3 linked regions of the Caenorhabditis elegans genome follow. The gene in region 2 interacts genetically with the main gene of each other region. Each region holds a gene or a part of one and is shown on either strand. Other genes may lie near its edges.

Evidence for each region. Genes that interact genetically often act in the same process or in processes that back each other up.
Region 1: of lit-1 (region 2) and tsfm-1, a change in one rescues a mutant of the other (synthetic rescue), as found in Caenorhabditis elegans (one study listed by BioGRID).
Region 3: of lit-1 (region 2) and vig-1, a change in one rescues a mutant of the other (synthetic rescue), as found in Caenorhabditis elegans (one study listed by BioGRID).

Annotation. Positions count from the first base shown.
Region 1 is NC_003283.11:12,269,585-12,273,335, forward strand, and holds tsfm-1 (Elongation factor Ts, mitochondrial), read right to left. Parts: upstream 1,968-3,751; 5' UTR 1,966-1,967; coding exon 1,882-1,965; intron 1,824-1,881; coding exon 1,678-1,823; intron 1,597-1,677; coding exon 1,169-1,596; intron 1,123-1,168; coding exon 830-1,122; 3' UTR 687-829; downstream 1-686. Other genes in the region: capg-2 (CAP-G condensin subunit), read left to right, coding at 2,300-2,604, 2,651-3,361, 3,405-3,751. UniProt on the Caenorhabditis elegans protein: Associates with the EF-Tu.GDP complex and induces the exchange of GDP to GTP. It remains bound to the aminoacyl-tRNA.EF-Tu.GTP complex up to the GTP hydrolysis stage on the ribosome.
Region 2 is NC_003281.10:13,712,216-13,717,215, forward strand, and holds the start of lit-1 (Serine/threonine kinase NLK), read left to right. Parts: upstream 1-1,829; coding exon 1,830-1,969; intron 1,970-2,342; coding exon 2,343-2,461; intron 2,462-3,282; coding exon 3,283-3,456; intron 3,457-3,534; coding exon 3,535-3,636; intron 3,637-5,000. UniProt on the Caenorhabditis elegans protein: Has a role in the Wnt signaling pathway controlling the asymmetry of cell divisions during embryogenesis. Operates in the AB and EMS cell lineages influencing cell specification.
Region 3 is NC_003280.10:1,319,227-1,323,759, reverse strand, and holds vig-1 (Hyaluronan/mRNA-binding protein domain-containing protein), read right to left. Parts: upstream 2,724-4,533; 5' UTR 2,613-2,723; coding exon 2,549-2,612; intron 2,428-2,548; coding exon 2,314-2,427; intron 2,267-2,313; coding exon 2,083-2,266; intron 2,025-2,082; coding exon 1,598-2,024; intron 1,547-1,597; coding exon 1,199-1,546; 3' UTR 687-1,198; downstream 1-686. Other genes in the region: fcho-1 (FCH domain only protein 2), read right to left, coding at 3,506-3,631, 3,675-3,734, 3,782-4,008.

The sequences.
Region 1 (3,751 bases), on a different chromosome or scaffold from region 2:
TACTTCTACCTTTACAACAGCGGTGCTCTCTCAAAGAGAGCACATAGGCGTCACGTCTTGATACACATTTGATGATGAAAAGGAAAAATGACGATGAGAAATGAGGAAGCTTGAGAAGAAAACCGAAGAAGAAAGATTGGGGTTTGTTGAGTTGTGTTCCTTTGGAATGTGGTATGAGAACTTGAGAAATGGGAACATCTGGAATATAAAACTATGAGGAATGTTCGGTGATCTTTCGTATTTTTTGCCATGTCAATGGAACTGAAACCGTCTAACTTGATGATAATGACCAAGATAGTCCCTTCAGTTTTGGAACAAGAGTAACAGACTCAGCAACAATATTTGTTTCAGATTGTCTTGATAAATTGCCAAATCTAAGAACGATACAATTTAGAACAATATCGCATGTTTCAACAAAGAGCTCAGTGATACTACAGTACACCTACATCACCAATTACTCCTACAGTACCAATACAGTACCCCAAAAATATATATGTTTTCTGAGTGTTCTCAGCAGTTTTCTCGTATTTTTACTATATTACAACAATTGTTTTAAATTTTCGCGGATTGTGACCTTAAAATACATTTGATTTCGACAGAAATCCGAGTGACCATGAATTTCTGAAATAAAATAAATGCATTTTAATCGTCTTCTTGTTCAATTGTTTTCCACGGAGGAATGTTCTGAAAATTGCAAATGTTTATTTTTTAAACTTTAAATTCAATTTATATGTCGATAAATTTATTTATCGATTAACAAAACAGAGAAACAAAAGCATTCTAAAAACTAATAAGGCATGAAAATAAAGTTACTACCACTTTTATCTAATTATTCGCTTCCAAGCTCTACACGAACAAAATCGAGAATGTTAGCATTGTGGGATTTTAGGTACTCATGAACAGATTGAGATGGATTCAACATGAAGGCTTGGCGGAGAAGAGCAGTTTCCGATTCATCAATATTAGTTACAACAACTGGATCAGCATTTGGATCATGCCCTTCTTGACTACGAAGCCCTTCTTGAGTTTTCACAGATTCTGCAGCTTCGCCGAGGGATTCCGGGGACATTCCGATAATGTGCTGGCATATCTGTCCGGCAAGTTGCTGACTACTGATTGACCCTGTAAATGTTAAGACTTAATTTTTTACTTTATTTCTTTGTTTCACCTGGACTCGATTGATTTAGAGCGATGAGTGAAATGAACCGTCCCATCGGGATATCATCAGTTCCATCTTTAGGATGTGAAGCTCCAAACAAAGTTGTTCCTTCGGGAGCTTTAAAAGCCTTAACTCTTCTCACTGTCATGTTCTCACCAAGCTTTCCGATTGAAAGGGAGAGCACTTCACGCATATTTTTTCCGTCGGAATCGGTCAGATCCCCAAGATCATAGGTGAATTCTTGAAGTTTTGAGCCGCTCGATATAGATTGTGGCTTAGCTTTTGCGAGAACAGAGTTGGAGATGTTTGACAACAAATCCTTGAAAGCTCCAGATCGCGCCACAAAATCAGTTTCACAACTGAGTTCTACCACAGCTGCTGTTGAGTTGTCCGTGACTACAGATACAAGACCATTCGATGTTACACGAGTTCCAAGTCTGGAATATTCTATAACTATTAAAATAATTCCTTGTGAAGTCAACATTCCAAATTAAAAAAATTTCAAAATAAACACTTACTTTGCCGCTTTGGCCCATCCTTCCTTCGCTGCAGCTTCTTTCAACCATTTTACAGCACTATCCATATCATTTTCGCCAAACTGAATAAGTGCTTTACGACAATTCACATAACTATAACCAGTCTTTTTTCGAAGAGCCATTAGAGCCTGAAAAACAATTATTTTTTATTTTTTAAAATTAATTAGGGTTCCTAGATTTTAATACCTCTTTAGAGACTTTCTTTTCGGCCTCAGCCAAGTTTCGACTAGTCGTTGATAGTAGACGTACAAATGGAGCTCTAGCAAACATTTCTAAAATTGGAAACTTTAGTTTTCAGTCAATATTGATAATTATTTTAAGAGAATAAAGCAAATTATGCAATTTTCTGGGCATTTTTTGCATTAAAAAATGAAAAGGCAAGTGCGCCCCAATGAGAAAGACGGCCGCGCGAAAGAATTCGTTTTGAACATAACAAGGAAAATGTGTTTCTTTTTTTTTAATTGCGAGGTAAATTATATTATTGAATTATTTTATTGATTATTTATAATTATTTTTAGGTGAAAACTTTAATACTATTATTTTTTGCTATTTTTTTGTTGAAATAAATTCTATAATTCCATAGAAATTTTCAGTAAAGAGATCAATGCCGAAGAGCAATCCGGTAACACCTAACAAACAACCATCAGAAGACTGGAATGAGTTACTCACAGAGTTCCGTGGAAAAGGAGGTCGGGCTCTTCAGAAAACATTCATCAGAAAATTGTGGGCAGTTCAAGAAGATATTATTGCCAATGCAAATCCATCGACTCTTCGGTGTATTTTCTTCGCACCAGCCTTGTTGATTTGTCCGGAAGGTATAAAATTATCAGCTGAAATTCTCCCAAAAATTGGTGTTGGAAATGGACTGATACTACTCGAGAAGTTAATACTAAAGTTCAATCTCACCGAGTAAAGTTTATACGCTGAAGAATTCCATTTATATATATTTTTGCAGCACTGAATGTCAAAGGTATGGTGAAGTATTCGTCACAGCTTGGAGAAATGCATATCAGGAGGCTAACTTTGATTTGACAGAGGAATTGGAGACCGATGTGATCAGTGTCATGTGTCAGCATGCATTATATGCTCACAGGCCTACCTGCACTAAATTTCAAAATGTGATTGCCGCATTTGCACACGCGAAAAAACTGGACAAAAGTGTAGATGAAATGGTGACAAGGCTTCTCAATGGATGTCTTTACCGAGCGCTGGACGCTCCAAATTACATTGTACAGTCATCAGCTGCAGAAGTATTTTTCAATTTTTACCCACTAATTGGCGAGGATACTGAAGACATGGATAGGATAATGGAAAACCAACATCGATATATGATGGACTTATTACGTAGTGATGTTATTTCCATTCGAAGCGAAGCCACGAAACATGTCTTGAAGGCAATCAGCGAATTCTGGCTTCTTATTCCAAAAAATATCGTGAAGGAACTCATGGGATACATCATTGATACAGTCGCGAAAGACACTGTTGTCAGCGTCCGCGTCGCCGTTTTTGAAGGTCTTAATGAAATGGCATTTGTTCCGGCATGTCTCACAGCATTCGAATATGGATTGAAATGTGCCGTTGATCCAGCACTACAGGATAAATCTGAACGAGTTCGTCTTGCTGCTTACCAAATAATTTCTCGTCTGAAGAATCATAAATTTATTAGGTAAAATGAACCCAAATCAACAAACTAAAAAATAAATTTTCAGTGTGTTCGATATCATTACTCGAGATGATGCCATTGCGAAACTCGATCTGGAAAACGTAGAGACCTGCCGCCGTCAACTGATTCCAATTATGCATATTTGTCTTCCTATCTCGAAAAGTCTGGATGAAGCATACTATCGTCCTCGTGTCAACTACATGTTAGGAAAAAGTCGATTGGCTCTTTTGAGTTACTTCCGATTGCTTGGCCCAATGAAAATCATTGATGCATCCCAAGCATCCAAACTTATCGAAATGTTTATAACCTGGGCATATCGTTATCTTCGTAAAAAGGATGGCCCTCCATTACCAGAGACTGCCGAAGGATACAAAAAAGCGAGAGCTTATCTTG
Region 2 (5,000 bases):
GGGTGTGTGTGTGTTATGGCTTTTCTTCGAACTTTTTATTTCACTCGGAAACTTTCAAGATTTGTCTTTTCTGATGCTTTTTAGGATTCCAGGAATTTTATTCGTTCGAACTAGTAAGTATGAAGTTAGAGTTCACAGCAAATTTTCATCAAAATTCGGAAAAAAACTGGTTTTTATATCGTAGCCCTACAAAAATAGAGAAATAAAAAAATCGAAGGGTCAGATTCACCAGTGTTATTTTTCGATAATTTGTCAGAAAAATTTGGGAATTAGAAACTTTACGAAGTCTAGTGAGTTGCAAATTTTTAAGAATCAAATTTGCTAATTTTCCTTCTTATTTTCGGATCAAATTTTCATTTCATATGAAATATTTCATAAAAAACAAAAAATCAGATTTTGTAGATAGAGCCCACAATGTAAAGGAACTACAACATCTGTAGAACCGGATCTGTTAGATTTTTTCTTCGAGTTTTACAAAATTTCAGACTTCCCAAGTTTTTTGTTTGAGTTTTGGCTCAGAAATTTCGAACATAAAACTTGGAGAATCAGATTCCCGGCTTTTAGAGAAAGTTCCGATTAGGGGCACCACAAATTGAGAAAACAAACATTCTGGAGAATCAGAGTTTCGATTTTTTGTTGCCAAAAACGACATCCTTGCTCCAACTGTCAGCATGCCAAACAACAGACACCCCTGTTGAAAATTTTAAATTCCAAATGAAACGGGGATGGGGTACATCGTAGTAATAGTAGTAGTTGGTTCTTAGGGGAGCACATCTCTGCTTCTTCTTCTTCGCAGCTTTTCGGTCTTCTGCGTCCGTTTGAGTGGTCAGTCAGATGTATGAGAGTGCGTTCCGTATCTCTCTGCGTCTCCACACCCTTGACCACTCTCTACGCCGTCGTGCTCTCTGTGTCTCGCCCGACTATCTCGAATAGAAAGTGACCACTGCTACATAATATTCGAATTCGCGGGGGGGGGGGGGTCTGTCTACTGCTGCTGCTGCTGGGTGGCCGTTTTCCTTGCCACACACTCTCTCGTCTCTCTTGCTCTTTGTGCATCTCATAGTTTGCTACTCGCGATCAGCTGTAGTCAACGTTCTCATATATACAGTATGCTTTTTGTTGAAAGTTTTGCCATATTGCCACGGCAAATTTTTTGGTACTTTAGTGGTTTTTTATTTCAAATCACCACGAACTTTTATAATTTTCCTCGATATTTGCATTTCCTCATTTTTTGCCAATGAAATTGTAAATTTTTCGCATTATTCTGTATGCTAGCACTTGTTTTCCAGCTTTACTTTACTCCCTTGTCCTCTCCCCGCCCCCAAAAGTACCAGAATAAGGTGTTTCCAAATTAGTTGTCCTTATCTTTCGAGGAGCCTCGTTTTAGAAAATGTGTACTTTTCTGCTCAATTCCCGGACACTTTTTCCGGGAATTCAGAAAAAGTCTGAACCACTACTAATTCTAATGTGATATTCTGAAGTTAGTCTTCATAATGATATATGCTAGCAATTTATATAACTAATTTTTCACATGGCGCACACATATCCTCATATCAGAACATATCAGAAGTTCTTGTTATTTTCCCGTTCCCCAAAAGTAACAGAGTAATAAAAAATTTCGAAATCCCGAGGGACGGTCCTTGGGGAGGTCGGGGTCATCACCCTCAACGTACATGGTACCGGGGGCCTGGTGGCGACAGGTAGTGAGGTCTCTCTTCTCAGTCCTGTTAGCACACACACAGTGGAGGGGTGCGTGCGCGCTCGCTCACTCGCCTACAGATCCGAGATGAATCGTAGACGCGTATTGAGGAAGACGGTGTTGGGTGGTGATGGTGTCGTGGGGAAGGGGGAAGGATGCGTACTATCTCTATATTTCTCGAGAACAAGAAGAAGATGATGACGATTCACTTTCCTTCTACTCGTCTCAGAAAGACACGGAGGACGAATTCTGCGGGTGCCTTTTCCCCGAGTAAATTTTCACATGTTTACAAAAAATGTTCATTATGAGCCTCTGTATTGCTTAAATTTGTCAATCATAAAATATTTTAAATAGGCAGTTCTCCTGAAAATAATACATTGAAAAATTTCGTTATTAAACCATTTTTGGTTTTTTTGTTGGAAATTTTTTTGTTGGCTTGATAAATTTGGCACAATTTCGTTTTCCGAGAGGAGAACAACTTTTATTTCCTTCTTCATCTATTTCCTCCTTTTTTTCAGAATTCTCTAGAAAAAAAACAAAAAAAAAAGAAGGCGTCCTCTCTCGTCATGAATGAATAACACTAGTTCCGCCTCACTTTTTCATGTTCTTTTTTCTTCTTTCTTTTTTCTTTCTTTTTTTCAAGTCCAGAAATTCCAGGATCAAGCAGTTCATCCGGCTGTAGTTCGTCATCTACAGAGCTCTACGATCTTGCAGCTGCACACGCCGCACTTATATCCCGACAGCAACAGATTCTCAGTCAGGGTGTGTTTTTGTGGAAAAATTAAAACAAATTGAGTTTTACATGTCCGGAAATGTGTGTCTCGCCACGAACTTTGTGGAATTCGTTGGGAGACCCTATTGTTTTTTTTAATAAGCTAAGAAATTGAGATTTTCGCTCATTCATGTGAAAAAAATAACGCTCGCTAATCTTTGTATTAGAATTAGAGTTGATTTGCTTTTATAATCCAGTTCAATTTGTCTACAAATTTTCTTTTTAAACAATTAAACTAGTTTGGAAAATGGATAATTAATTTTTAAACCTAACCGTTGAATTATTGATCGAAAAATGAAAATTAATTAAAAGTACTGTAAACTTTAAAGGAGCATACCTTTAGTTTCGTACTGGGTTCCACCACGATTCGAGAAATCATACATTTTATAATATTTTCTCGATTTTCGTGCCTAAGATATCTTTTTTTAATATTTAATTGAAACAAATTTTTTATTTTAAAATGTTCATTCTAACCGAAATTTCCAAACCCCATTGTTTGCTCCCGAAACACGAATTTTCAAATAGTTCAGTACTGTAAGATTTAAAGGCGCCCAAACTGTCTCTTGCAGTAGGTCTCGTCACGATCGGAGAAATTCTAAAAAAGTTTTTGTTTTTTCGTTTCGAATTTTTGTTTTTCTGCTCAATTTCTTCGCTTTGTTAGCTAAAAAATGTGTAAAATTTATCATTAAAAAAAACAAAGTTTCAACAATTTTCAGTACCTCTTCATATAATTCACATGAAATTGTCTAATTTTTAGCCAATTTCAGAGGATTTTCCGAAAAACTCAATAATTAATCAAGAATTGTTTCAGCAATCCCAATAATACCGGAACACCAGCTGGCCGCCGTCGCCGCTCACCATCAACATCACCAGCAGCTTCACCCATCGGTACAGTACCAGCTCGTCGCTGCCGCCACCCATCACAATCATCATCAGCCGCAAGCGGCACAACCACACTATTCAGCAGTTGTGCCACGATCTGACGGTTTGTTAAATAATGTTTTAAACGTTGAAAATTGTTTTTTTTTTCAATAAAAAAGTAATGTTTTTTTTAATTTTTCAGTAATACAACAACCACCACACTTTGCTCTGCACCACCATCTTCAGAATTTGGTTCAACAGCAGCAGCAACAGCAGGCTCACCATCATCATCAGCAATTAGTTGGTGAGTCGACCGATTTTTTTTCACGAAAACAAAAAATTAAAAAATAATTACCGAAAATCCGGAAAAAAACATTAAAAAATGAACGGAACAATTTCCCTTTTTTTAAAAGTTAACTTATGAAATTTTTGAAAGATAAAAAAAAATATTGGGAAAAATTTTCAAGCCTCAAAAATCTGGTTTTTAAAACTAAAAACTAATTTTAACAATAGTTTCAAATTTTTCTGTAAAAACCAAAATTCCCAACAAAATTTTTTTGAATCATGATATTTGTAAAAATCTATTTTCTTGATTTGTTAACAAACTTTCGAACCATTTCCCTTTTTGTTTACTTTTTAATATCTCAAAGTTCACGTGTAGTTCTGTTAGCCGGTCTTTACAAATTTAATCAGTTGCTGCCTGTCAAAGTGCACAAGTCCTTCTACTACTTTATTTTCCATCTCCTCTACCGTAATGTCCTTGTCTCCCCTGAATGACCTACAAAGAACACACTCCGCTCTTTCTAGAAAAGACTGCTTTCTCTGTTAAAGCACATGTTTTTTGTTGTTGTTACTCTCCGTCATCAGCTTCGGGGTGTTTTTTTTATTCTGGAATTCTTAGAATTTTCTCAGTTCACCGTGACTCACTTCTCAGAACTACTACGATTTTCTAACAGAAATCTGAAAGACATTTATTGCGAAATATGATGACTAAAAAAGAGATCAAGTTCGGCTTTTTTGAGCCATTTTTTCCGAATAAACCCGTTTTTTTTAATGTTCTGAATTTTCTATCATTTCCAAAAAAAAATATTGTGAAAAAAATTTTTATGATGCTCTTACTCTTTGCCATTTAAATTGGAACACTAATTGTCAATTTTTCAGACATTTTTCCGCGTAGAAATAAAAATTGGCCTATAAATTGTTCGTTTAACAATTAATTACTTGATAGAAAAACGATTCTTCCTTTTAATTTTTTTTTGAATAACGGAAAATTATATATAAAAAATGCCTATTTTCTTTTCTGAAATTTAGTATGAAAACCAGTTAAACACTACTTAGTTAATCTTTATTCGATATATCTTTATCAATCTGAAATTCACTAACGATTCATTTATGACGCTCAAACATGTGAACTCCGTTGATCACATACACACAAATTCACGTTATGACGAACATAACACTAGATATGTCGAAAAACGCATATACACAGATTATATTGCTAGTGACGCAATTTTTGAGTGAAATGGAAAAAAGGGAGATAATGGCAACAGCGAATACGTAAAGGTGGAATTAATTAGATTTCAGCTCAGATCTAGAAATAAGTAGAGAGTATGTGCTTAGACTACATTTTGTGCTCCTTTGGACTATATTAATTCCGCTAAAATGGAA
Region 3 (4,533 bases), on a different chromosome or scaffold from region 2:
ACGAAACTCTAATAATTTGGGTCTGCTAAATACGACTTGTAGTTTGTAGCCTAGCAGACCAAAACTCTTCAAAAGCTCATGGGTCTGCTAAACACAGACTCTAGTTTGTAGTCTAGCAGACCAAATTCTCATTGGTCTGCCATTTCAGAATTGTAGTTTATAGTCTAAAAAGCTTCTCAGGGGACCTAATTCAATTTCAAATTCGGACGCCGCTGCTGTCATAAAATCGTTACTAAACTTGCGAAATAGCAATTTCCAAAGAGAGAAGAGTCGCAGGAAGATTTAATTAAAAATTAAATTATTTCGAACGCAAGCTCGCTCTATTGAGAATCTGAAGAATTAAAAATTCTAATTTAGGCGGCTAACAGAAGGGAAATCAATAAGAAGTGAAAGGAGAGCAAAAGTTTTTGCCGAGCAATGGGGAGGGGGGGGGGTGCTCCCTCTCTCCCGCTGAAGAAGACGTCGCGGCTCTCTAAAAGAGGCGGCAGAGAATCAGAGCACTCGGCTCGCGGCCTAGAAATGGCATGTGTCAGGCCACGCCCCTGTGGTTGGTTTAGACCGTTTTATTACAAAATACGGATACAGTTGGGTGGGGGGGGGGGGGGGGGGTGTGTGGAGGCAAAAAGAAGAAAAATGGGTGTTTGTGTGTGTGTGTGATATAGAATGATTGGGGTGTTTAACACAAAAATGATGCTTTATCAAATCTTGTTAACAACAAACTCCAATTAAAACGAAACCTGGGCGCAATGGGGTGGTGGTTGGAAGGGGCACAAATTGAGTTTCCTAGTACTAGTTCGTTGATCCTTGACACAATTGAGACCTTTTGTTGTGTCAAATATTTGGTAAAGAAGAGGTCGTCTTGGTGGGTGTATGTGGAAGATCAAGGGATTCAAAGGGCTTAAAAATTAAAGAAAAAACGGGAGATAACAAGCAAACCAAATCGAGGGCAACTCATCAGAAGAGAGATCGATAAGGCAGGTGATAACAACAACAAGCTAAATGGGGGAACTAGAAAAAAAAGAAAAATAAGAAACAGGCATTTTGGAAACGAACAATTTGTGGGGTAGATGGGCACAGGCAAAGATATTGAAAAGAGGAGAATTTTGAAGAAAACAAGATGGAGAGAAGAACAGAGCATTTGAATGAGGGCGGGCGAATTGGTTGGTTGGCTGAAGGTCGTTGAGTGGGGGGGGGGGAATTACTTGGCACCGAGAGCTGGGAAAGCATCGTCAGAAGCGTTGAATGGAGTGTTGTTGCGTCCTCCATGACCTCCTTGACGTTGTCCTCCACGGCCTCCACCGCGTCCACCTCCTCTTGGTCCTCCACGTTGCGGCCTCTCAGAACGGTCGTTGCGCTCGCGTTCTGGACGATCGTTGCGGAAAGTGATCGAAATGTCGAGCACTTGCTTTCTTGGAGCCTTGTGGATTACGACGACCTCGTCTTCCTCACGATCTGGGATGACCTCCTTCTTGATTGGAACGAGCTTGCCAAAAGTATCGGCGGCTCCCTCTCCGGCCTTTCTGGTGTTGAACTTTGGAGCGTCAGCCTGAAACAAAAAAAAAAATAAATTCCAAAACTAATATTTTATACGACTCACCTTAGCCGCAGCCTTGAACTCCTTAAGAGTCTTTTGCTTGGCAAGAACAGCCAACTCAGCCTCGTAGGCGAGCTCCTCAGCGGTCTTCTCACGTGGAACCTCTGGCTCGGTGCTCTCAGCGCCCTCTGGAGCAATGTTCTCGGTTTCTCCAGCCAACTCGTCCTTCTGGTCTCCCCAGTTGCCCTTTCCGTGTCCGTCCTTCTTGTCGAATGAGCGAACTCCGGTACGGTCGGATCCGGATTGACGATCGAATTGACGCCCACGTCCACCACGGCCTCCTCCACGTCCGCCAGATGGTCCACCTCCAAGGGTGAATCCTCCACGACGTCTTGGGGCACGGGTATCTTGTCCGTCTTCGAAAGAGACCTCTTGCTTTGGCTCCTCTCCTTCTCTGTTCTCGCGAGTGAATCCTCCGCGGCCTCCACGTCTAAAATACAAAGTTCAGTAAAATGAAAAAAAAAATTAAAAATTTAAGCGTTTCTTACCCAGCTGGACGAGCAGCACCGCGCTCACCGCCTCTGCGGGGTCCTCCACGACGGTTCTCGCCTTGTGGACGATCACCGTTCTCGTTGGAGACACGTTCTCCGTCACGTGGACGGCCGGCTCCCCCGCGTCCGCGACCACGTCCTCCGCGTCCACGTCCAGCAGCACCGTCGGTTTTGGTGGCGGCTGAAATAATGTTTAATTAATTTAAGAATAGGAATGCCAATTCTTACCAACTGGAGCAGCGGCTGGCTTGACCGGCTGGGCGGGCTTCACAGACTTTTCCTCCTTCTTCTTGGCGGCGATTTGAGACACCTTTTGGATGAGCTCTCTTGGGTCGTCATACTCTGCAAATTATCGATTTTTTATAATGTCTTCTGGGCGGAGTATATCGCATATGAATATTGCGCAATATCCCATCGGGAAGATAAGATAATCATCCGGCGATCATCATCATCAACCACTCACCATCGTCGTCGTCGGATGGAAGACCGAACTTGTTGGTGACCTGGCAACCGTATTCAGTGCTCATTTTTGCTGTTTGTGTTGATTCGATGAAGATAAGATTCCAAGTGCAGGAAGCTTCTGTTCAATTCAATAATTTCAATGCCAAGTTAATCAATAACCCATAATATGGGGATACCTGCAAGAACGTTAGTTTAGATTTCAAATTTTCAAACAAAAATCGATATTTAAGAAAAGAGTATAATTAGCCAGACACCGTTGCGATATTTTAAATCAGTTAAGCACTTTTCACAACTAAAATCAAAAAATAAAAAAAGCAAATTGCATTTTCTTAAGGGAATTTTTGAATGTTCCAGAAAGAAATCGAATCAAAAGTCAGAAAATCAACAATTGCTCAAAATCCACTATTTCGGAATAAAATAAACATTTTTCAGTGCAATTTTGATCAAAAATCGGTGATTTACTGCTAGCAACCCAAAAAATTACAAAAAACCGGCGAAAACGGTCAAAAAAAATCGGAAAAACTGTTCAAATCGGACAGGTGAAGGTTTGGCTGCGTATCACAATAGTGTAAACTGGCGTTTGCGAGCCGCTACGCAGCCAAATGCGACCGCCGAAATGGGCGGCAGTTTGAAATCGAAAACTAGTCCTCGGCCATTTTCAATCAATTTTTGGTTGGGGGAAAACTTGTTTTCCAATTGTTTTTGTTGTCTTAAAGTATTTGAAAAGAAATTTATGACATTTCCAGCCCAAAATGTGTGTAAAAAAAGTAAAAATGCCGGGAAAAAGTATTTATTACAGCGGGGGATAACGAATAATAGTGGAAAAACTCGTTTGGTGGTGAAAAATTGGAAAACTAGAAGTTGAAAGTTTGTTAAAATCACAGATTTCGCGAGAATTATGCTATATTTACACAGAAAAATTAAAACAAAAATCAAATTAAAAAGCTCTTCATCTTCTCTATTTCCGCAGCTCGGGATCACAAAAATATTTACCAGCGAGCACCTTTTTACGAATCATAGACAGGTGATAAATATCCGATTGCACTAGGGAAATGTCCACTCCAGATAGATTGGCTTCCAGGCACTGAAAAAGATAAATTAAGAGCTTAAATTTCAGTTTTTAGTACCTGAAATTGCACGAAGACCTGCGCCGGCTTCCGATCGAGCATTTCCAAGCTTACTTCGTCCTGGAAAATTATATATTTTTTATTTTAAAGCAATTAAAAAGCCCGACCCCAGAATTCTTCATAAATATCCTTGCTTTCAGCGATCCGTGCACATCTCCATTTCTTGAAATTTCCAGCAAATTCCAGCCGAGTGACGGATTTCCAGCCACCCATTTGGCTTCTGGCTCACACATCACAGAATCCACGCTTCCCGTCAAATTTGTGCTGAAATTCACGTTGAGAAGTGGCGCCGAGATGGAAGATTCTGAGTTGAGGCGATAGTCGACACGGAGATCTGAAAAGAAATGCGGATTTTTATTATTAGGCTTTATTTTTGGCGTTTGCATTTAAAAAGTACTACAAAAAACTCAATTTTATTTAGCAGACTCAGCAATTTTGCCAATTTCAATAAAAAATTTGGGTCTGCTACACTACAAACTACAAAATCAAATTTAGCAGACCTATCAATTTTCTGCAGTTTTTAATAAATTTTGGTCTGCTAGACTACAAACTACAAACTCTTAATTAGCAGACCCATCAATTTTCTGCAGTTTTTAATAAATTTTGGTCTGCTACACTACAAACTACAAAATCAAATTTAGCAGACCTATCAATTTTCTGCAGTTTTTAATAAATTTTGGTCTGCTAGACTACAAACTACAAACTCTTAATTAGCAGACCCATCAATTTTCTGCAGTTTTTAATAAATTTTGGTCTGCTAGACTACAAACTACAAAGTCTTATTTAGCAGACCAATCAATTACTGCGCTTTTTAGGAAATTTTGGTCTGCTAGACTACAAACTACAAACTCTTAATTAG